2 linked regions of the Saccharomyces cerevisiae S288C genome follow. The protein of the gene in region 2 binds, or shares a complex with, the protein of the main gene of each other region. Each region holds a gene or a part of one and is shown on either strand. Other genes may lie near its edges. The genes, in order: SPT20 and TRA1. A codon is read from its position in the direction of its gene.

Region 1 (4,173 bases), on a different chromosome or scaffold from region 2:
ACAGGAATAGCAGTGGAAATGGGAACTCTTATAAAAGTAATGATTCGCTAACATATAATTGCGGCAAAACTTTAAGTGGAAAGGACATATACAATTATGGATTGATCATATTAAACCGAATTAATCCTGACAATTTTTCTATGGGCATTGTTCCCAATAGTGTCGTAAATAAAAGAAAAGTATTTAATGCAGAAGAGGATACACTTAACCCACTAGAGTGCATGGGGGTAGAGGTGAAAGATGAATTGGTCATTATTAAGAACTTGAAGCATGAGGTCTATGGTATATGGATTCATACAGTTAGTGATAGACAAAATATCTACGAACTAATAAAATATCTTCTGGAAAATGAGCCAAAAGATTCTTTTGCTTGAGCACAGAGGTGAGATGCCCAAGTGAGAATTTTTTTTAAATAATGATGTACTTTAATACAATATATATATATATATATATATATATATATATATATATATAAGGAATGATAACTCTATTTAAGTAGATTATGACATTGTAGTAGAAGAGGGCGTGCTACTTGCGCTCTGTTTCTTCTTAGTCATTCTTTTCTTTTTAGGAGCTGGTGTACCGCTCTCGCTTTTTTTTGCATTTTTTCTAGGTCGCTTAACCTTTGGTTTATCTAAATTATTATTATTATTATTATTGTTACTGGTGGCATTGTTACCACTCCGTTTATTTGCGTTTTTCATGGCTCCACCATTCTGTTGTTGCTCCAAGGCCTGCTGTTGTCTTTGAAGTAGCTGTTGCTGTGGAGTCAATGGTGCTGTCATCGATATTCTAGCGTTGAAGGGGGTTGGATTGATGTTTGCACTTAAAGCCTGCTGTTTTCTTTTTTCTTTATTTATTCTCCATTGTTCAATAAATTTCAGCCTGCTAAATTGATTATTATCGTTACCCATGGTAGATCCCACTGCAGCCGCAGCCGCTGCCGCTGCCAAAGCTACTTGATTGCCATTAGCCAAACTGTTATTCCTTGTATTTGATGCGGAATTCGAAGTTGAGGACGAAGCTCCACGTACCCCGTTGGAACTGGAGCTAGCAATCTCCATCGCATTCTTGGTTAACGAAACAGCAAACGTGGAGTTGGTTATCGTTGTTGTGCGTTCATTCATGATCAACATCAACTGTTCATAATTTGAACTATGTTGCGGAAATTCATCGCGTTCTTCGATATGCCCTACAACGCCCTTCGTGCCTTCTCTCGTAGACTCAGCACGATGTTCGTGAATGAAGGATTTTTTTTCACTATCCCAATGAGGTTCTGAAAAAGCTGTTTCCTCCAACATGTCTCGGTGCTCATATGGATTTAATGGCACACTTAGTGACAAGTTCCTCTTGGTAAGTGTTAAAATTTCAGATTCAAACTGTTGATAAATGCTATCAGAAAACCTGGCATTATCTGCATAAGACATCATGTCATAATACGTCGTCAAATCATTAGGCTTCAACAATGTTCGATATACTCTAGGTCGTTTGAAGGATGCCTTCTTATTTGCTGTGTTTGCGCCTGTATTTGCCACACCACTATTAGGTTCGGATGGTTGTTGAATCTTGGAATTGTCCTGTGTGCTATTATTATTTGAAGGGGAAGAAGAGCTGTTCAAATTAGGCTTGTTCTCTTTGGGGGTGACATCAACTGTATTAGTATGGTCATAAACCTGTAAAATAAGATTTCCTTCGTAAAATTGGATATTACAGTCCCTTAAGACTTCCATAATAGCATCAGGAATCCTTCCTCTTGCGACGTACTCTAAAAATTCTTTCAAAGTTTCGTTATTTTTGGTTAATATTAAACCGTCACTAGTCAGCTCGGGTTGCTTTTGCTGCTGTTGTAACCTGCTATTTGCAGGAGCGCAAATCTTATAATTATTCTCATAAATATGAAATTCAAAACTGTGTAAATATTGCTCATATTTTTTCAAAATTGAGTCTGCATCTTCCACAAAATTGTAAAGTCTTTTAGGTCTTTTGTTTAAGGTCATAAGCATTTGATAAAACTGAGCCTCATAGTTTTGGAGTGCTTGCTGTTTTCTCTGTTGTTCGAGTAGTCTTTGCTGTAGTAATAATCGTTGTCTTTGCTGCAATTGCTGTATTTGCTCCCTGGTTAAAGTCCTAGTACCTTCATTGGCATTACTATTACTGTTTGTCCTCATAACAGGATGATTTACATTTGCTACCGCTGGGTTCATAGGAGGTGGTACATTAACTGGACTGCCTGGCGAACCCATATTGGATGGTGTTGCGTTCACAGGAATACCAAATACATGGGGATCGTTTCCTGTCGGGCTATTGGCACTCATCCCTGAAATATATAGGCGCAAATTAACCGTAACTATTCCTTCCTAATCCTCTTGAAGGCTACTTTTCTCATTCTTTTATCTCTGCTGGTCGATCATCTTAACACTTCTTCATGATTAATGGTCGTCAGGTATCACGAGCGGGTAACAGAACTAAGCAGTTATAGCGATCCCAGTTTTACTTTAAAGATAGTTAGTTAGTTATTAATGGTGCGGATAACAAGAACTATTGTCACTCAGAATCTTATACAGGTATGGACATGGAACATTGGGTCATATACATAAGAAATAAATTATAAAGAAGGGTCGAATCAAACATAAGCGGAGAATAGCCAAATAAAAAAAAAAGATGAAAAGAAAGCTATGTAGCTTTCCACATGTCTTGCATACCAAGGATAGATGTGACAACACCGGATAGCGCAACATACTCTTCGTTGCTAGACAAGTACCCTAGGTTGTTGAGGACGATGAACGAATCTGCAGCATCCCAGAATAGTCTTCTTAACGCGGTGTACCTGTCTTGGTATGCCTTCCCTAGTACCTTCTTGTGATCCTCATGCTCATCGCCTTGGCTTTGTGATTTTGCCTTGACAAACGCAGCAATCTGGGCATGAGATGTTTGGATCTTACGAAGATCCATAGCCAGACCACTTAGGAGGCCGAACAGCCAACACCAATTGGACCAGCGAGGTATTTTCTTACCGGTAAGAACGGTTACAGGAATCACTTTCAAAATTCTCAAAAGATTGACTTGATCTAACGACAAATATGCAGCAAAGAAGATGTTTTTCAAAACATTGCAGACTCTAACGACGTTGTCGCTGGCCAACTTGTTATCGTAGAATTTAGCAGCTGCCTGCAAGTGGTTTAAAGGCTTCAGAAACCTCAGAAATTTTCTGACTGTGGTAAATTGAGCTTGTAATTGCCTGGCCAAGAGAGATGAGTTCTGTACTGCTAAAAATCTTGCTAAATACTGCAGTAATCTGAGAACCTTTTCTCTGCCAGCTGAGCCATCTAGAAATTTGACGAATCTCGTCACGGAGGGATGATATACCAGTGTATCACAGACCATATTGATTATACTATTACTTGATGAAGTCTTTGAAGTAGTAGATGGAGACAACGGTTTTTCAGTTGTTGGAGTCACTTCCCTTTTATATCTATAAATGATATACCCATCGCTTCGGGTTCTCCGAGATAAATGCCGACGCGTAGTGAAAATCGCAATGGAATTGATGCCAACTTTGTTCTTGGTATTATATTTTTACAATAGAAGGGCAAGCATAGAAAGGATGGGTTACTATGACATTGATGATGTCCTAGCAGATGGGACAGAGTTTCCTTGTAAATTTCAATATGATATTCCTGGTCTTGGTTATTTGGAAAACAACCCAGGACGACCCATAACGAAAAACACTAAACTAAGCCTGCCACTATGGTTAGCAAGAATCCTTGCAATTGTGGGTGGTGACGAAGCCTTGGTAGATGAAGAACCTGTACCTTTTGTGGAACTCCTGCCACCAGATATGTTTTCTACGAAAGTTATGAACGCTATAAAGACCGATCCGGTGGCTCTGGACTTGCATTCCATAAATTCGCATTTCTTCAGTCTAGCCATAAAATGGATAATGTTGTTTAGCGAAAAAGAACTGGCCAATGTCGTTAGTGAGCTACTTTTGCAACGTGCCCAAGAACTTAATCATCATGCTAGTAGTTTATCGATTGATCTCAATGCAGACTCGACCGGAAAAAATTCAGCGAACACTAATATAGCAACTAGCACATTTTTACTGAAACTAGAAGAAATGGAGAAGGAGATATATAAAAAGTCTCATGAATCTTATAAGGACACGAAAAGGTG
Region 2 (17,493 bases):
GATTTCTGTGTGAGGTTTTCTCGGAGGAATAATAGTTTTCCAAAAATTACTTTTGGCAACTACGTGAATATAATTGACTACGGATATCCTTCGAGAAGGCCATAAAAAGAACCGTGACAGGGCCAAACAGAAAAATAATGAAGACAAGTTTGCTTTTTCTCTCACTGTATTTGAGGATCGGAAGCTTTTTGCACTGAAAATATTCTGGGTTAACAAGGTTTAAAGAAGCAAACTGCCACAAAGTATATGAGAGTATAACCGGACGGTACCTATACTTTGAAGTTGGAATAAATACGGGGTAGACAAAAAGGATGTGTTTCTGTATGTCTGATGAGAATGATGTCATCAAAGAACGTAAACAACAGTAACTGTCTATATTCTTGCTTTTTATTATGCGCTGTTACAGCAGGTAGCGGAGTTTTCAGTTCTTTCCCTAGTATGTAGTATGAAGGATAATACGGTAAAAGAACGGGGCTCTTGATTCATCATATAAATTTATTTTCCCCTGTTGAAACCTCGAGTAACCGTCCTCACTGTTTTATTACCAAGGATGAGCTCGAGCAGTTGTAAGAGAGAAGTGGGCAGAAAAGTATAAGTAACAAGAAACGATATACAAGTTCTTGTTGTTAGGCGTAGCAACCCTTTCTCCCCTGGTTTGATCCTACTTAAAATAAAGAAAAAAAACAAAAACGTCATGATGATTTTGATATTATTAGACATACGTAATTTAGTTGAATTAAAGGAATAACAGGCAGCCCTATTAACCACGGACAAAATATCTCTGCATATGATTGCATTATTTGTAAACTATGAATGAACATATGAACGAAAACGATTAATATTAATATTAAAATTTGAAATGGTGCAATGCTGAACATTGCAAGTATGCGAAAATAGTTGATCCTACACTACAAGAGATTATTTTTCTTTAGTGAACATCCTTTTATAAAATGGTCTCGGATCATTTCTAGTAGCGTCTAGGTCATAATCTGTTGTTCTCCTAGATGGTGGGATCCATTTGGTAGACTTCCAAGGTAGCACATTTTCTTCATACATTTCGTTGACTTCTTCTAATGTTAAGCCCTTTGTCTCTGGAACAAAGAAGAACACATAAAAGTATGCGAACACCATACAACCCATAAAGACATAGCCATAATAGAAATTGATTGCTGAAGTAATAAATGGAGTGAAAAAACTGATCAAGAACCCCCAAATCCAGTTACAGGCACTTGCAATCGACATTGCTTTACCACGTACTCTTAAGGGATACGACTCAGAGATAAGGACATAGGCAACGGGGGCCCAAGTGGTAGCGAAACAGAAAATGTAGAAACATGCGAAAACAATCATACAGTTACCAGCACCCTTTGAAGATGGTTGATCTTGACCGTTTGGCCATAATCTGGTAACACCAACAGAGGCATAGACGACATAGCAACAAATCATACCTACACAGCCCCATAACAAACAATTACGACGACCAAAACGATCGACGGTATATAGCGAGAAAAAAGTCGAAACAAAATTAACAACACCCAAAACAATAGCAGTTTCAAATGAATCTTCCAAACCAACAGCCTGGAAAATTGTAGTACCATAGTAAAAGAAGTAATTGTCACCTGTCAGCTGTTGTAAAGATTGAATCATCATACCCATTAGTGTACGTCTGAACATCTGGGGCTTACCAGTAACCAATTCCCCCCAAGAAGCAGAGCCCGCCAATCTCTCAGCTTCAATAGAAGACTGATAGTTCTCCATTTCTAAAGTTACTAAAGGAGAGTCTTCAGTGGTTTTGTTAGCTCTTGCTAAGGACCGCTTGGCCTCTTCAATTTTTCCCACTTCTACCAGATAACGTGGGGATTCAGGAACGAACGTCATACCAACAATCATAAAAATAGACCATGCAAAGCATAAGCCTAATGGTACCCTCCATTGGACAGAGTTTGAGTAATTCTTGGTACCAAAATTAGTACAATATCCCAAAAAGATACCGAAAGTGATCATTAATTGGTAACATGAAACCAGAGTACCACGCAACTGCTTAGGCGACACTTCAGAAATTAGCATAGGCGCCAAAACTGTAATACCACCAACGCCCAGTCCTGAGATGATTCTTCCAATGAAATATTGATACCATTTGTCAATGGAGGCGATTTGGATGATGATCCCAATTGAGTAAATGACGACAACAGTCATCAGACCAATCTTACGTCCATACATATCACCGAGCTTTGACAAAACTATACCTCCGATAGCGCAGCCGATGTTGAAAATAGAAACCATCAAACCGGTTCTGACATCGGAAAGATAGGTAGTCCCGTTTGCACGGGTGCTGCCAAATCGCCTAATGAAGTCTGTTTGCCTGACAAAACCAGATATAGTACCAGTATCCCACCCAAACACGAACCCACCAAAAGCAACCATCAAACAGCAGACGGATACAAATAGTAAATCCGACTTCGATTTCTTCTCTAGTTGTTTGTCAACCTCCTTCTGAAGCTCTTCCAGTTCGTCTTTGGGAGGGCCTTCATGGGAAATGTAACTTGAGACGGGTTTAGCTTGTGCCAAATTATCGTTGTAACCGGCGGTACCAGGAGCAGTCGAGTTTCCTGACTTCTCGTTGTATGAGTTAGAATTTGTGCTCACAGTAGCAGACCCTTCCAAGGGGCCTTGATGAGCGTTTTCAAGTTCCGACATTCTTTCTTTACCTCTAATATATTCTTTTTTCTAGAAAAATAATATTTTTTGCTGGTTTTAACAAAGCTATGAAGTAAAATTGCAAAGTGAAAGCGAATCTTGTTTGCGTATATTATATATAGAAAAATTATTCAATCGACTTTTCTCTTTCTTTTGATAGTTTCTTATTCTTAGAGGGAGAACCGTTCGACTAGCATGAAAAGAAAAGAGAGAGACTCTTTTATACGTGAAATCAAAAAGAAACCAAACTTGAGGTACTCTACTAATGATTCTGGCCCTCCTTTCTTGTTTACTCCGTGCCCCTAAAACTAATTAACCCATGCCCATATATTCATCCACACGACCATTAATATTGAACATAAAGATATCATTTCACCAAGCAGTACTTCACTCAATAACAAGGTGTGAAATCCGGTATATTATTCCATCGCTATGAGTGCGGGATCAGAAAGTGAATTACTTACTGTCCCCTAATGTGCACAGCCACGGGGAATGCGGATCAACTGCAGAGAAAAGGGCGCACAGAGTTAGAATGCATCCCTTAATCCGGGAAGTAACAGTAACACGTCATGCGGATGTTTCTTCGGTGGGTATGGGTCACAATTTCGTCCACCAGTACATCACAGCATGCTCTCATTTCTTTACTTTTTGCTAGCAGATGATTACTTTCATTTCGGGTGGGATGGGCCACCTTTTTAGTTTATCCTCCGGGATGCCTTAAACAAGAAAATGGAACAGTGGGGATAAGACCCATAAAAAATCCGAAGTGATAAGTATTGATTGGTATATTCCCGTATCGGAGACCTTAACATAACATAGTGTAGTGATTTTGCGTATAGAAAAGTAACCAATAAAATAAGGTAAATATTGCTATATGAATGTAATAAATAAAATAATATATGGGCGCAACAAAAAGAACGCAAGAAAGAAGCATTGATCAGTGCTTTTTACTAGTTTTCAAGCTTTTCACCCTCCTTAATAGCTTGTTGCCGGTGTTTTCCTTTTTAACAACATCTTCGTGACCGCTTCCTTGGGTGGCAGTGACCGGAACAGAAGTTCTATTATCGTCTACGTCCTTTTGCTCCAAGTGTCCACTATGTGTTTTCACTAGCTTTAAATTGTTGTTGTTCACTTGTAGATGTCTTCTTGAGGGGAGAGACTTTTTTCTTGCTATGCTGTTTTTCCTACGAGATTCTTGTGCGTGGTTGATAACATCTTGCTCTATGGCAGCGGAAGACGCTGGTGCGCCATCCAGGAACGTCGTTGAGCCTAGACCCATCGTAATGGGCCCATGGACTAGTTCAGTTTTCATTTTGGAATCGAACTGGGTAATATTTTTTGAATTCGGTTTAATCGCATCCAAAGTCGTAGTACTGGAATTGGCCTTATTGAATAAATATGCTCTATCTTGTAGTTGGTTCAGCGTCTCAGAATCGTCGTCTACTGTTTCCCTACCAAACACCTCATCTAAGGTAGACTTCTTACTTGTGCGGCCGCCTACTGTATTATTTGGACCATCTGCTGGGAAGGCCAGTACAGGCGCCACTTTATTATTCTTATTTCTCTGTGGAGTGCATGCATCAAAGGGGCCGTCATGATGGAAAGATCCGCCAAATAATCCTGTAACATCCATCTTGTCAATAGTGTCTACATTTTTAGGGGGCTTAACCTTGGTTCTGCTTTTGCTCTTCTGCTTATCTTTGTCCCTATGTCCGTGTGATGTACGACGATGGTGGTGGTGGTTGTGTTGGTGACTATTTGAACCACTACTGCGTTTCTTTTCTTTTGGGTATGGAGCTTGCTGTTTCGGTGTCCCCGCAGCTTCTTCATATGATGGGAGTCTTTCTTGTCTAGAATTGGAAACGCTACTGTTATGGGCCCTCCTAGTGTCATCTTCATTTAAAAATGGGTTACTGCAATAATTATGGATTATCTCAATCGATTTTGAAAGGAGAAAAAGAGTTAAGTTAGTATTCTGAAGTAGTCATGACTGTTAGTTACACTGTAGTGCAATTTTGGGAGTGGAGCTACACATACTTATAATTCCTGGGCGTTTCATCCCTGCTTGATACTCTGTCCTCTGAAGGAGAAACTCTGAAGGGGTTAATCACTGTATTCACGCCATTTTGAGGACCGCCTATGGTCCTTCCTGTTTGATTCATTTGCGTCTGTTTGATATAGTATTCTTTGGAAAAAACGCTTCTGAAATACAAAATAGTAGTAATTTTGCAAGATTTACCAGAAGACAGTCAAGAAAAAATAAAGATAAAAGAGGAAGCAAAGCTACAGTTTTATCCCTGTAATTATGAGATTCTCTCATCCTATGTAGAATTTCACCCTTTCTCTGCCTGCGTTTCACATACTGCCTTTTTTTTTTTTTTGGCAGTATTCTCAGCATAGTCAGCGTTTCGCTGCCGAGAGCCCTTCTGTGGCTGGAACCCCACCAAAACACGAACCCAAAAATACTTCTCCTGTATTCCCCTTGATCAACGCCTTTCTACATGAGGAGGCGCAGGTGAATGCAGAAAGGCACAATATAGCCAACACGTAAAAATCACAATCATATCAGTCTATTCATTCATTTACGTATTTAATTATTTAGTAATGGATATACGAACCGCATCGGCCACAGCCACAACAATATGTCGTTATTTCCAGTTTTCTGCGTGTAAGCACAGGGTCTCCTTTGAGCGAGGCTCAAAACTGCACAAATTTTTGATGGATATTTTCGTGAGTTGCGGCAGTCGAGACTTTAATGAAATCGTCTTTTTGAAGTTTTTCTTGAATTTTTTTATGCATTATCACCAAGTAATTGTCATATGATTCGATTCTGTTGACGGTCTTGTCCTCGCAAAGCAATTGACTCATCACATTACTGTAATATTGATCAACATTAGGCCTCAACAAGACTAACGGCAATGATGACTTGTTGACTACTTGTTGCCAGTTTTTAATGACGTTTGAAGCCTTTTGATTAATACTAGTGCCCGTCTCAGGCAATGTTCCACTAAATAACGAAATTTGGCTGACGGGCAAGGATTCATCCACTGACAGCAGGTCTTGCAAGAGCATTCTATTGGTGTTCTCATTAAACCATAGATAGATAGTATCACCTTGGAAAATCAAGTAGCAACCGCCGTTAATGAAATTAGAGTGTGAGGCTCTTACAGATAGATTATTAATAGAGCTGGAGTTGATCTGTAATAATTTATCATTAGCATCGTAAAAGGTCAGATCAGTTTCCTCTAATAATACATGGAATGGCACAATTTGTGGATAAAGTTTGTAGCAAAGTTGTGCTGAGTTCAATGAATCGTACTTCAATAAATCATAAATTCGTTCATTACCACGGGTACTTTGAGCGTTTGGCTTCATTAATTCGCTTTTTTCAAATGCTAACATGTAAGCAGGCAATGTCTTTATAGAATCCGGCAGTATCAATTGCGTTGATGAGTTACTGCTAACCAATCCTCTATATTGGGTCAAGATTTCGACCATCTTGTCATCAATTAATCTTCTGATCTTTACAAAGTCACAATCACCGAGCGTCTTTATGACATCTTTGATCATTATTCTCATGACAGGATTTTGATTTATAAACTTGAAAATTTCACGAATGTTATTAGATACCGCACCTGACGTGTTAATAGAACGAACTTTTCTGACACCATCAATATCAGTATATAACAATGCAGTTTGGAAATGAACATCGGTTCCTGTTTTTATTTTACTGTCATATTTTAGTAAGACATCTAAGGTGGTATCTCTAGTCAATACAGGAATAATTGGATCATGATCCGTATTATCAGATGAATCGCAGTAGTACTGTTCCACAGATAGCCCAGTAGAACAGCGAACTTTCAATAAAGCTTGATAACCAACAATATTGGAGACATTTGTAACCATGTCGTTAACCAAAGTGAAGGCATCCGTCTCTTGTTGAAAGTGGGGATAATATTTCAAAATACCGGAAGTCATCTCTACAGGATGGCCCACAGTGGCCATATCAATGAATCCCGCATTGGTCACATATAAATCTAAAGAAATGTAGGATTTCAAAAAATCCGATGCTAATTTCTTATAGAACCCATTGTCGCATTTAACATGAGCAATGTGTGCATTGTCCCTTTTTAGCGATAAATTCCCGTTGCCGATCGTTGGCAAGCTGTTCAAAGAACAAATAATCTTACCACCTTGCCCGCCAGTTACTGTGTCTAACGCTAATTTTGCGGCTTGTAAAGCAGAACCATAACAGACTTGGGGTACGTGACTATACTTGTCGGTGGAGATGTAACCACTAATTTTTATCAATGTGTCATTAATGATTTTCATCGAGTTTCCGGGTTTAACAAATAATCCATTATAAAATGGTAAGAAAACATCGTCCAATTCACTTACAATGTACTCTTGTGCATTATCTAAATCTGGTCTCAAATTAAAGAACCGCAACTTATTATCATAAACGATTATAGCAACCTCACAATTTGGCTGGAAATCTGAAATATACTCAATACATGACCTGACACCTTCCACCATGGCTAAAGAACTTCCGTTCTCATTAGCTAACAATGAAACATCAATCAAAAACACGTAGTGTAGTGGTAAAAGCTCCTTCTCCTGAATAGCATTGTAAATACTTGGCACCAAGAAATCGACTGTTCCGTGCAATAACTCTGATTTTTCGTTCAAATCACTTCGTTGCCCATTGGGACCCATGGGCGCAAAATGCTCACCTGGAACTTGCATCTTAACTCTACAAATATTACAAATAACACTTGAATCATAAGTGAACTGAAATTTAGGATTAGCATACGCACGACAACGTCTACAACGCAAAGGCGTACCATCCATTGGTAATGGAATTGTGGGAACTTCTGCATCATTCGGTGTCAAAGTGGAAAATGGTTGGATGGTTAATCCAAGTGGTAGCTTCGTGGCGGCTCTCAAGTGTTCACTTTCGGGGATGTTGTACATGGATAAACTCATCAAGTGCGGATCACATGAACCTTGGTCAACACAATAAAACTGGGTGGTCGGCAAGGGCGGAACAGAATCTCTACAAGTTTCGAAAGATCGTTGTAAATATTGAGCTTGATCTTCAAATCTTTGAGTTGGAACAATGTGAGATGTAGGTTGAGGCGCTGTCATATCAAGCATAGATTGACCATATGGCGAGGAGGCCTCACTCGCACCGAATCGCTCTTGACTCACCATTACAGGCGTGGACATAACGGAACCCGAACCGTTGTTGAAGCCACCAAATTGCTTAGGGGTAAAGGCTTGAGGTTGTTGAAAACCATCCTGCTGATTCAATTGGGGTGTAGTGTAGGGTGAATTGCCCAAAGTAGGAACAGTGCCCGAGGAAAAGTTATGATATGCTCTGTGAGGTCTTCTACTTTTTTTGGAAGATGCTCCGCCCGTATGCACAGTAGATTCATCAAGAGAGAGCGCTGAAACACTAGCTGCCAAAATATTCTGCTGAGACATGATGGTCCAATATTCTTCTGCAAATGGCCTCCTTAGTAACCCTCAAAATTACTAATTTCTTCAGTTGCAAGCTCCGATTTGGTTGAATCAGACCTAAGTTGTTACAGCGTACGTGTTTTTTTTATTTATTTATTTTCTAACATTTTTCTCTTTGGTTTTTCCAGTTTGATCGTTCCCACGTTGAGACGAAACGAAGGAAAAAAAAGAACATTTTTTTCGCATTGTGCACGGAAGGCTTCACCTTCAATAGGGCAAACAGAAGGACGAGCTGCATCACTTTTAGCCGCCACTAATCAACTCCTTCAGATAGATCGCCAGAACGCAAATAAGTGAAATTTGAAGATCAACTTGAATCAAAAAGCCAAAACTAAGAATTGTACGCTACTCTGCCAGACAATATTTTACGGACACGCGCATTTCAAGACAAAGCCATAATTCATGCCTTTTCAACTAGCATCTGGACGCCGCTGAGATCATAGGAACAAACAAAACGCACGAAAATAGCTAACGCACGTATCGAATACCAAATCAGTCTGCATTTATTGTACCCTCAAATTACAAATTCAACCAACAATTGTTCAAAAGACCACCTTGAATCTTGTGTTTCCTAATTTGGTAAGTGATCACGTGGTCAGACAGTTTTCCAGGTCAAACTGAAAAAAAAGCTCAAGAACCATTTTTCTTTAATAGCCTTTTTTAGTTGTATTCTAATAAACAACACCAACAAAATCGGAGGTATCACACGTAATTACATAAAGAAGATTAAATTCAGAGAAGATCTATCACACGATATCTCCATAGTTACAAAGAATACCGCATTTTGCCGATGTCACTCACTGAGCAGATCGAGCAATTCGCCAGTAGGTTTCGCGATGATGATGCCACTCTACAATCGAGATATTCCACTCTATCGGAATTGTACGACATAATGGAATTACTGAATTCTCCTGAGGATTACCATTTTTTCTTACAAGCTGTGATACCTTTACTTCTAAACCAGCTAAAGGAAGTTCCTATTTCATATGATGCGCATTCACCGGAACAAAAGTTGAGAAACTCTATGCTTGATATTTTCAACAGGTGTCTCATGAACCAAACCTTTCAACCCTACGCAATGGAAGTGCTCGAGTTTTTACTTTCAGTACTACCAAAGGAAAACGAAGAAAATGGGATATTATGTATGAAAGTGCTGACGACACTTTTCAAATCATTCAAATCAATACTACAGGACAAACTCGACTCCTTCATACGAATAATTATTCAGATTTATAAAAATACACCAAACCTTATAAACCAGACGTTTTATGAAGCCGGGAAAGCAGAACAGGGTGATTTGGATTCACCAAAAGAACCACAGGCAGATGAACTTCTCGATGAATTCTCCAAAAATGATGAAGAAAAGGACTTTCCATCGAAACAATCATCCACGGAGCCAAGGTTTGAAAACTCTACCTCATCAAACGGGTTGAGGTCATCTATGTTTTCCTTTAAAATCCTTTCTGAATGCCCTATTACAATGGTCACTTTATATTCGTCTTACAAGCAGTTGACTAGCACCTCGCTTCCGGAATTCACTCCTCTTATTATGAATCTATTGAATATACAAATTAAACAACAACAGGAAGCGAGAGAACAGGCGGAATCACGGGGAGAACATTTCACTTCTATATCGACGGAGATTATCAACAGACCGGCTTACTGTGATTTTATATTAGCCCAGATCAAGGCCACGTCTTTCTTGGCTTACGTATTCATTAGAGGATACGCTCCTGAATTTTTGCAGGATTATGTGAATTTTGTTCCTGATTTAATCATAAGGCTTTTACAAGACTGCCCTTCTGAACTATCATCTGCTAGGAAGGAACTTTTGCATGCCACTAGACACATTCTATCTACAAACTACAAAAAGCTCTTTTTACCCAAATTGGACTATCTGTTTGACGAACGTATACTTATTGGTAACGGTTTTACTATGCATGAAACATTAAGGCCCCTGGCTTATAGTACTGTGGCAGATTTCATTCATAATATAAGATCTGAATTACAACTAAGTGAAATTGAAAAAACAATAAAGATTTACACTGGATATCTATTGGATGAGTCATTAGCCTTAACTGTACAAATCATGAGTGCAAAATTGCTGCTTAATTTAGTTGAAAGAATATTAAAATTGGGAAAGGAGAACCCACAAGAGGCCCCTAGAGCAAAGAAATTGTTAATGATAATCATTGACTCATATATGAATAGATTTAAAACCTTAAACAGACAGTACGATACAATAATGAAGTACTATGGAAGATACGAAACGCATAAGAAGGAGAAAGCAGAAAAGCTCAAAAACTCTATACAGGATAATGACAAAGAGAGTGAGGAATTTATGAGGAAGGTACTGGAACCATCCGATGACGACCATTTGATGCCACAGCCTAAAAAAGAAGATATCAATGATAGTCCCGATGTTGAAATGACAGAATCTGACAAAGTGGTGAAGAATGACGTTGAAATGTTTGACATAAAAAACTACGCACCTATATTATTACTACCCACACCAACAAATGATCCCATCAAGGATGCTTTTTACTTATACAGAACTTTAATGTCTTTCTTAAAAACAATAATTCATGACTTAAAAGTCTTTAACCCACCTCCTAACGAATATACGGTTGCTAATCCTAAATTGTGGGCTTCTGTTTCTAGAGTTTTTTCATATGAGGAAGTCATTGTTTTCAAGGATTTATTTCACGAATGTATTATTGGTTTGAAATTTTTTAAAGATCATAATGAAAAATTATCTCCAGAAACAACAAAAAAACATTTTGATATATCAATGCCCAGCCTACCGGTCTCAGCCACCAAAGATGCTCGTGAGTTAATGGACTATTTGGCATTTATGTTTATGCAGATGGATAATGCCACTTTTAATGAAATAATTGAACAGGAACTGCCATTTGTCTATGAAAGAATGCTGGAGGATTCTGGGCTGCTACATGTCGCGCAATCCTTTTTAACAAGTGAAATAACCTCCCCAAATTTTGCTGGCATCCTTTTAAGATTCTTGAAAGGGAAATTGAAAGATTTAGGAAACGTTGATTTTAACACTTCTAATGTCCTAATACGACTTTTCAAATTGTCCTTTATGTCCGTCAATCTTTTCCCCAATATCAATGAGGTTGTTCTTCTTCCACACTTAAACGATCTAATTCTAAACTCCCTGAAATACTCAACTACAGCAGAAGAGCCTCTAGTATACTTTTATCTTATTAGAACTCTTTTTAGAAGTATAGGTGGGGGCAGATTTGAAAACTTATATAGATCGATTAAGCCCATACTACAGGTGCTATTACAATCTTTAAACCAAATGATACTTACTGCACGATTGCCCCACGAGAGAGAACTTTATGTGGAATTATGCATCACTGTACCAGTTCGGTTAAGTGTGCTTGCTCCTTATTTGCCATTTTTGATGAAACCATTGGTATTTGCATTACAGCAATATCCTGATCTCGTTTCGCAGGGTTTAAGGACCTTAGAATTATGTATTGATAATTTGACCGCCGAGTATTTTGATCCTATAATCGAACCGGTAATCGATGACGTTTCGAAGGCCTTGTTTAACCTTCTGCAACCTCAACCATTTAATCATGCTATCAGCCACAACGTAGTCAGAATACTGGGCAAATTAGGAGGTAGAAATCGTCAATTTTTAAAGCCACCAACGGACCTCACGGAAAAAACGGAACTAGACATTGATGCGATAGCAGATTTCAAAATCAATGGTATGCCGGAAGATGTACCGCTTTCTGTAACGCCAGGAATCCAGTCCGCTTTGAATATATTGCAAAGCTACAAAAGTGATATTCACTACAGGAAGAGTGCTTACAAGTATCTAACCTGTGTACTACTGTTAATGACAAAATCATCAGCAGAGTTTCCTACGAATTACACGGAACTGTTGAAGACAGCAGTGAATTCTATAAAGCTAGAGAGGATTGGAATAGAAAAAAACTTTGATTTGGAACCAACTGTAAATAAGAGAGATTATTCGAACCAAGAAAATTTGTTTTTGAGGTTACTGGAGAGCGTTTTTTACGCAACTTCGATAAAGGAACTAAAAGATGACGCAATGGACCTACTGAATAACCTTTTGGATCATTTCTGCCTATTACAAGTAAACACTACGTTGCTTAATAAGAGAAACTATAATGGGACATTTAACATCGATCTAAAGAACCCAAACTTCATGCTAGATAGCTCATTGATTCTAGATGCTATTCCCTTTGCCCTTTCGTACTACATTCCAGAAGTTCGTGAGGTGGGTGTTTTGGCGTACAAAAGAATATACGAAAAAAGTTGTCTGATATATGGGGAGGAACTAGCTTTAAGTCACTCCTTCATACCGGAATTAGCTAAACAGTTTATCCATTTGTGTTACGACGAAACATATTACAACAAAAGAGGCGGTGTCTTGGGTATAAAAGTTCTCATTGATAATGTTAAGTCGTCCTCAGTTTTCCTAAAAAAGTATCAGTATAACCTAGCCAATGGTCTATTATTTGTGCTGAAGGACACTCAGAGCGAGGCCCCATCTGCTATAACAGATAGCGCTGAGAAATTACTAATAGATCTATTAAGTATTACGTTCGCGGATGTAAAAGAAGAGGATTTGGGTAACAAAGTCTTGGAGAACACACTGACGGACATAGTATGCGAATTAAGTAATGCAAATCCTAAGGTAAGAAATGCCTGCCAGAAGTCCTTACATACAATTTCAAACCTCACTGGAATTCCTATAGTAAAATTGATGGATCATTCCAAACAATTTCTTCTATCACCAATATTTGCAAAACCTTTAAGAGCATTACCTTTCACTATGCAAATCGGTAATGTCGATGCTATCACATTCTGTTTAAGTCTACCAAACACATTTCTAACATTTAATGAAGAACTGTTTAGGTTACTCCAAGAATCTATTGTCTTGGCAGATGCAGAAGATGAATCACTATCCACCAATATCCAAAAGACAACCGAATATAGTACTTCCGAGCAATTAGTACAATTAAGAATAGCGTGCATAAAATTACTTGCGATTGCTCTTAAAAATGAAGAATTTGCCACAGCTCAACAAGGAAACATCAGAATTCGAATTCTAGCTGTTTTTTTCAAAACAATGCTGAAAACTTCACCAGAAATTATTAATACTACATATGAAGCTTTGAAAGGTTCCTTAGCAGAAAACTCTAAATTGCCGAAAGAATTACTTCAGAACGGATTAAAACCTCTTTTAATGAATTTATCTGACCACCAAAAGCTGACGGTCCCTGGTCTGGATGCTTTATCGAAGCTTCTCGAGTTATTGATTGCATACTTTAAAGTAGAAATCGGAAGAAAGTTGTTAGATCACCTCACGGCATGGTGCCGTGTTGAAGTTCTTGACACATTATTTGGCCAAGATTTAGCAGAGCAGATGCCAACTAAAATAATAGTAAGCATTATTAATATATTTCATCTACTGCCACCACAAGCTGATATGTTTTTAAATGATTTGTTGCTCAAAGTTATGCTTCTAGAGAGAAAACTACGTCTTCAACTGGATTCTCCATTTCGTACACCACTAGCGAGGTACCTGAACCGTTTCCATAACCCCGTAACAGAGTACTTCAAGAAAAATATGACGTTAAGGCAATTAGTGCTTTTCATGTGCAATATTGTGCAAAGACCTGAAGCAAAGGAGCTGGCCGAAGATTTTGAGAAAGAACTCGACAACTTCTATGACTTTTACATTTCCAATATACCAAAAAACCAAGTACGTGTTGTTAGTTTTTTTACTAATATGGTTGATCTCTTTAATACAATGGTGATCACGAATGGGGACGAATGGCTAAAGAAAAAAGGCAACATGATTTTGAAATTAAAAGATATGCTGAACTTGACATTAAAAACAATAAAGGAAAACTCGTTTTACATCGACCATCTACAATTAAATCAAAGTATTGCAAAATTCCAAGCTCTTTACCTGCGTTTCACTGAATTATCCGAAAGGGATCAAAATCCTCTGCTCCTAGATTTCATTGATTTTTCTTTTTCAAATGGTATCAAAGCCTCATATTCCCTCAAGAAATTCATCTTCCATAATATAATAGCAAGTTCAAATAAAGAAAAGCAGAATAACTTCATAAATGATGCAACACTTTTCGTTCTATCTGACAAATGTTTGGATGCTAGAATATTTGTACTTAAAAATGTCATAAATTCAACTTTGATTTATGAAGTGGCAACATCTGGATCTTTGAAAAGCTATCTTGTGGAGGATAAAAAACCTAAATGGTTAGAGTTACTCCACAATAAAATTTGGAAGAACTCAAATGCAATTTTAGCATATGACGTTCTAGACCATCATGATTTATTCCGTTTTGAACTCTTACAACTGTCAGCAATTTTCATTAAGGCAGATCCAGAAATTATAGCCGAGATAAAGAAAGATATAATAAAATTCTGCTGGAATTTCATAAAGCTCGAAGATACCCTTATCAAACAATCCGCGTACCTGGTTACATCATATTTCATATCCAAGTTTGATTTCCCTATTAAAGTTGTCACCCAGGTTTTTGTTGCCCTATTACGTTCTTCTCATGTCGAAGCTAGGTACTTAGTTAAGCAATCGCTGGACGTTCTCACCCCTGTTCTCCATGAACGTATGAACGCAGCTGGGACGCCCGATACCTGGATTAACTGGGTTAAAAGGGTAATGGTAGAAAATTCTTCTAGTCAGAACAACATTTTATACCAATTTTTGATAAGCCACCCTGATTTATTTTTCAATTCAAGAGATTTGTTCATATCAAATATTATTCATCATATGAATAAGATAACGTTCATGTCAAATTCAAACTCTGATAGTCATACTTTAGCTATTGATTTGGCGTCATTAATTCTTTATTGGGAGAACAAGACCTTAGAAATTACGAATGTAAATAATACCAAGACCGATTCCGACGGAGATGTTGTAATGTCCGATTCTAAAAGTGATATTAATCCAGTTGAGGCTGACACAACCGCAATAATTGTAGACGCTAATAACAACTCGCCTATATCTTTACATTTACGCGAGGCTTGTACGGCGTTTTTGATAAGATACGTGTGTGCAAGTAATCACCGTGCCATAGAAACAGAACTAGGATTAAGAGCTATCAATATTTTATCAGAATTAATCTCAGATAAGCATTGGACAAACGTCAATGTTAAACTGGTTTACTTCGAGAAGTTTTTGATATTTCAAGATCTCGATTCCGAAAATATTCTTTACTACTGCATGAATGCTTTGGATGTGCTTTATGTATTCTTCAAAAATAAGACAAAAGAATGGATAATGGAAAACTTACCTACCATTCAAAATCTTCTAGAAAAATGTATCAAATCTGATCATCACGATGTACAGGAAGCTCTGCAAAAAGTTTTGCAGGTAATAATGAAGGCAATAAAAGCTCAGGGTGTATCAGTGATAATTGAAGAAGAAAGCCCTGGTAAGACATTTATCCAAATGTTAACCTCCGTGATAACTCAGGATCTTCAGGAAACCTCATCAGTTACAGCTGGTGTAACTCTAGCTTGGGTACTCTTCATGAACTTTCCGGATAACATCGTCCCATTATTAACGCCTTTGATGAAGACGTTCAGTAAGTTATGCAAAGATCACTTAAGCATTTCACAACCGAAGGACGCCATGGCTCTGGAAGAGGCAAGGATTACGACGAAACTTTTAGAGAAAGTTTTATATATATTATCTTTGAAAGTCTCACTCTTGGGTGACTCCCGTCGTCCTTTCCTCTCCACTGTGGCACTTCTGATTGATCACTCCATGGATCAAAATTTTTTGAGGAAAATTGTCAATATGTCCAGAAGCTGGATATTCAATACTGAAATTTTTCCAACTGTTAAAGAAAAAGCGGCTATATTAACGAAGATGCTGGCGTTTGAGATTAGAGGGGAACCTTCATTGTCAAAGCTATTCTACGAAATAGTCTTGAAACTATTTGATCAAGAACATTTTAATAACACAGAAATTACCGTTAGAATGGAACAACCTTTCCTCGTAGGAACGCGTGTTGAAGACATCGGTATAAGGAAAAGATTCATGACAATTTTGGATAATAGTTTGGAAAGAGATATCAAAGAGAGACTATATTATGTTATACGGGACCAAAACTGGGAATTTATTGCTGATTATCCATGGTTAAATCAAGCTTTACAATTACTATATGGTTCTTTTAATAGAGAGAAGGAATTATCTTTAAAGAACATTTATTGTTTGTCTCCACCATCGATTTTACAAGAGTACCTCCCAGAAAATGCTGAAATGGTAACCGAAGTAAACGATCTGGAATTATCAAACTTTGTTAAAGGTCATATAGCTTCCATGCAAGGTTTATGTCGAATAATCTCTTCGGATTTCATCGATTCTTTGATTGAAATATTTTACCAAGATCCAAAAGCAATTCATAGAGCGTGGGTTACGTTATTTCCCCAGGTATACAAAAGTATTCCAAAGAATGAAAAATACGGGTTTGTTCGATCTATCATTACATTGCTTTCTAAACCTTATCATACCAGACAAATTTCCTCTAGGACAAATGTGATTAATATGCTATTGGACTCAATAAGTAAAATTGAATCGTTAGAATTACCCCCTCATTTGGTCAAATACTTGGCGATATCATACAACGCTTGGTATCAATCGATTAACATCTTGGAATCCATTCAAAGCAATACTAGCATCGACAATACAAAAATTATCGAAGCCAACGAAGATGCGCTATTAGAACTATACGTCAATCTACAAGAAGAAGACATGTTTTATGGTCTTTGGAGACGTAGAGCAAAATACACAGAGACTAACATTGGTTTATCATATGAACAAATTGGCCTTTGGGACAAAGCTCAACAACTTTATGAAGTGGCACAGGTCAAAGCTCGTAGTGGTGCCTTGCCCTACTCACAGTCTGAGTATGCACTATGGGAAGATAACTGGATACAGTGTGCTGAAAAATTACAACATTGGGACGTATTAACTGAATTAGCGAAGCATGAAGGGTTCACGGACTTATTATTAGAATGTGGTTGGCGTGTTGCTGATTGGAACAGTGATCGTGATGCACTTGAGCAATCAGTAAAAAGCGTTATGGACGTTCCAACTCCACGAAGGCAAATGTTTAAGACCTTTTTGGCTCTTCAAAATTTCGCAGAAAGCAGAAAAGGAGATCAAGAAGTTAGAAAGCTATGCGATGAAGGAATACAATTAAGTCTAATAAAGTG

What was found.
Region 1: the proteins of TRA1 (region 2) and SPT20 are in contact, whole or in part, in a cryo-EM structure (PDB 6T9I), measured with the Saccharomyces cerevisiae proteins. Residues at the interface, in NP_011967.1 of Saccharomyces cerevisiae: Tyr2577, Arg2581, Ile2584, Ser2588, Leu2618, Pro2619, Pro2620, His2621, Leu2622, Val2623, Ser2648, Asp2650, Asn2651, Lys2653, Ile2654, Glu2656, Ala2657, Asp2660, Glu2708, Gln2711, Val2712, Ala2714, Arg2715, Tyr2721, Gln2723, Ser2724, Tyr2726, Glu2730, Asp2731, Trp2733; in NP_014493.1 of Saccharomyces cerevisiae: Asn389 (codon at 1,151), Tyr390 (codon at 1,148), Glu391 (codon at 1,145), Leu393 (codon at 1,139), Met394 (codon at 1,136), Leu395 (codon at 1,133), Ile396 (codon at 1,130), Met397 (codon at 1,127), Asn398 (codon at 1,124), Arg400 (codon at 1,118), Thr403 (codon at 1,109), Ile404 (codon at 1,106), Thr405 (codon at 1,103), Asn406 (codon at 1,100), Thr408 (codon at 1,094), Phe409 (codon at 1,091), Val411 (codon at 1,085), Ser412 (codon at 1,082), Lys415 (codon at 1,073), Gln474 (codon at 896), Phe475 (codon at 893), Ser476 (codon at 890), Arg477 (codon at 887), Leu478 (codon at 884), Phe480 (codon at 878), Ile481 (codon at 875), Glu482 (codon at 872), Trp484 (codon at 866), Arg485 (codon at 863).

The regions. Positions count from the first base shown.
Region 1 is NC_001147.6:45,260-49,432, forward strand, and holds SPT20 (Spt20p), read right to left. Parts: upstream 2,316-4,173; coding exon 501-2,315; downstream 1-500. Other genes in the region: DCP1 (Dcp1p), read left to right, coding at 1-374; PEX11 (Pex11p), read right to left, coding at 2,674-3,384; DNA replication protein PSF3, read left to right, coding at 3,605-4,173. UniProt on the Saccharomyces cerevisiae protein: Component of the transcription coactivator SAGA complex. SAGA acts as a general cofactor required for essentially all RNA polymerase II transcription. At the promoters, SAGA is required for transcription pre-initiation complex (PIC) recruitment.
Region 2 is NC_001140.6:293,751-311,243, forward strand, and holds the start of TRA1 (histone acetyltransferase TRA1), read left to right. Parts: upstream 1-9,010; coding exon 9,011-17,493. Other genes in the region: hexose transporter HXT5, read right to left, coding at 919-2,697; PAL2 (Pal2p), read right to left, coding at 3,635-4,610, 4,735-4,859; SFB3 (Sfb3p), read right to left, coding at 5,395-8,184. UniProt on the Saccharomyces cerevisiae protein: Essential scaffold subunit of the transcription coactivator SAGA complex. SAGA acts as a general cofactor required for essentially all RNA polymerase II transcription.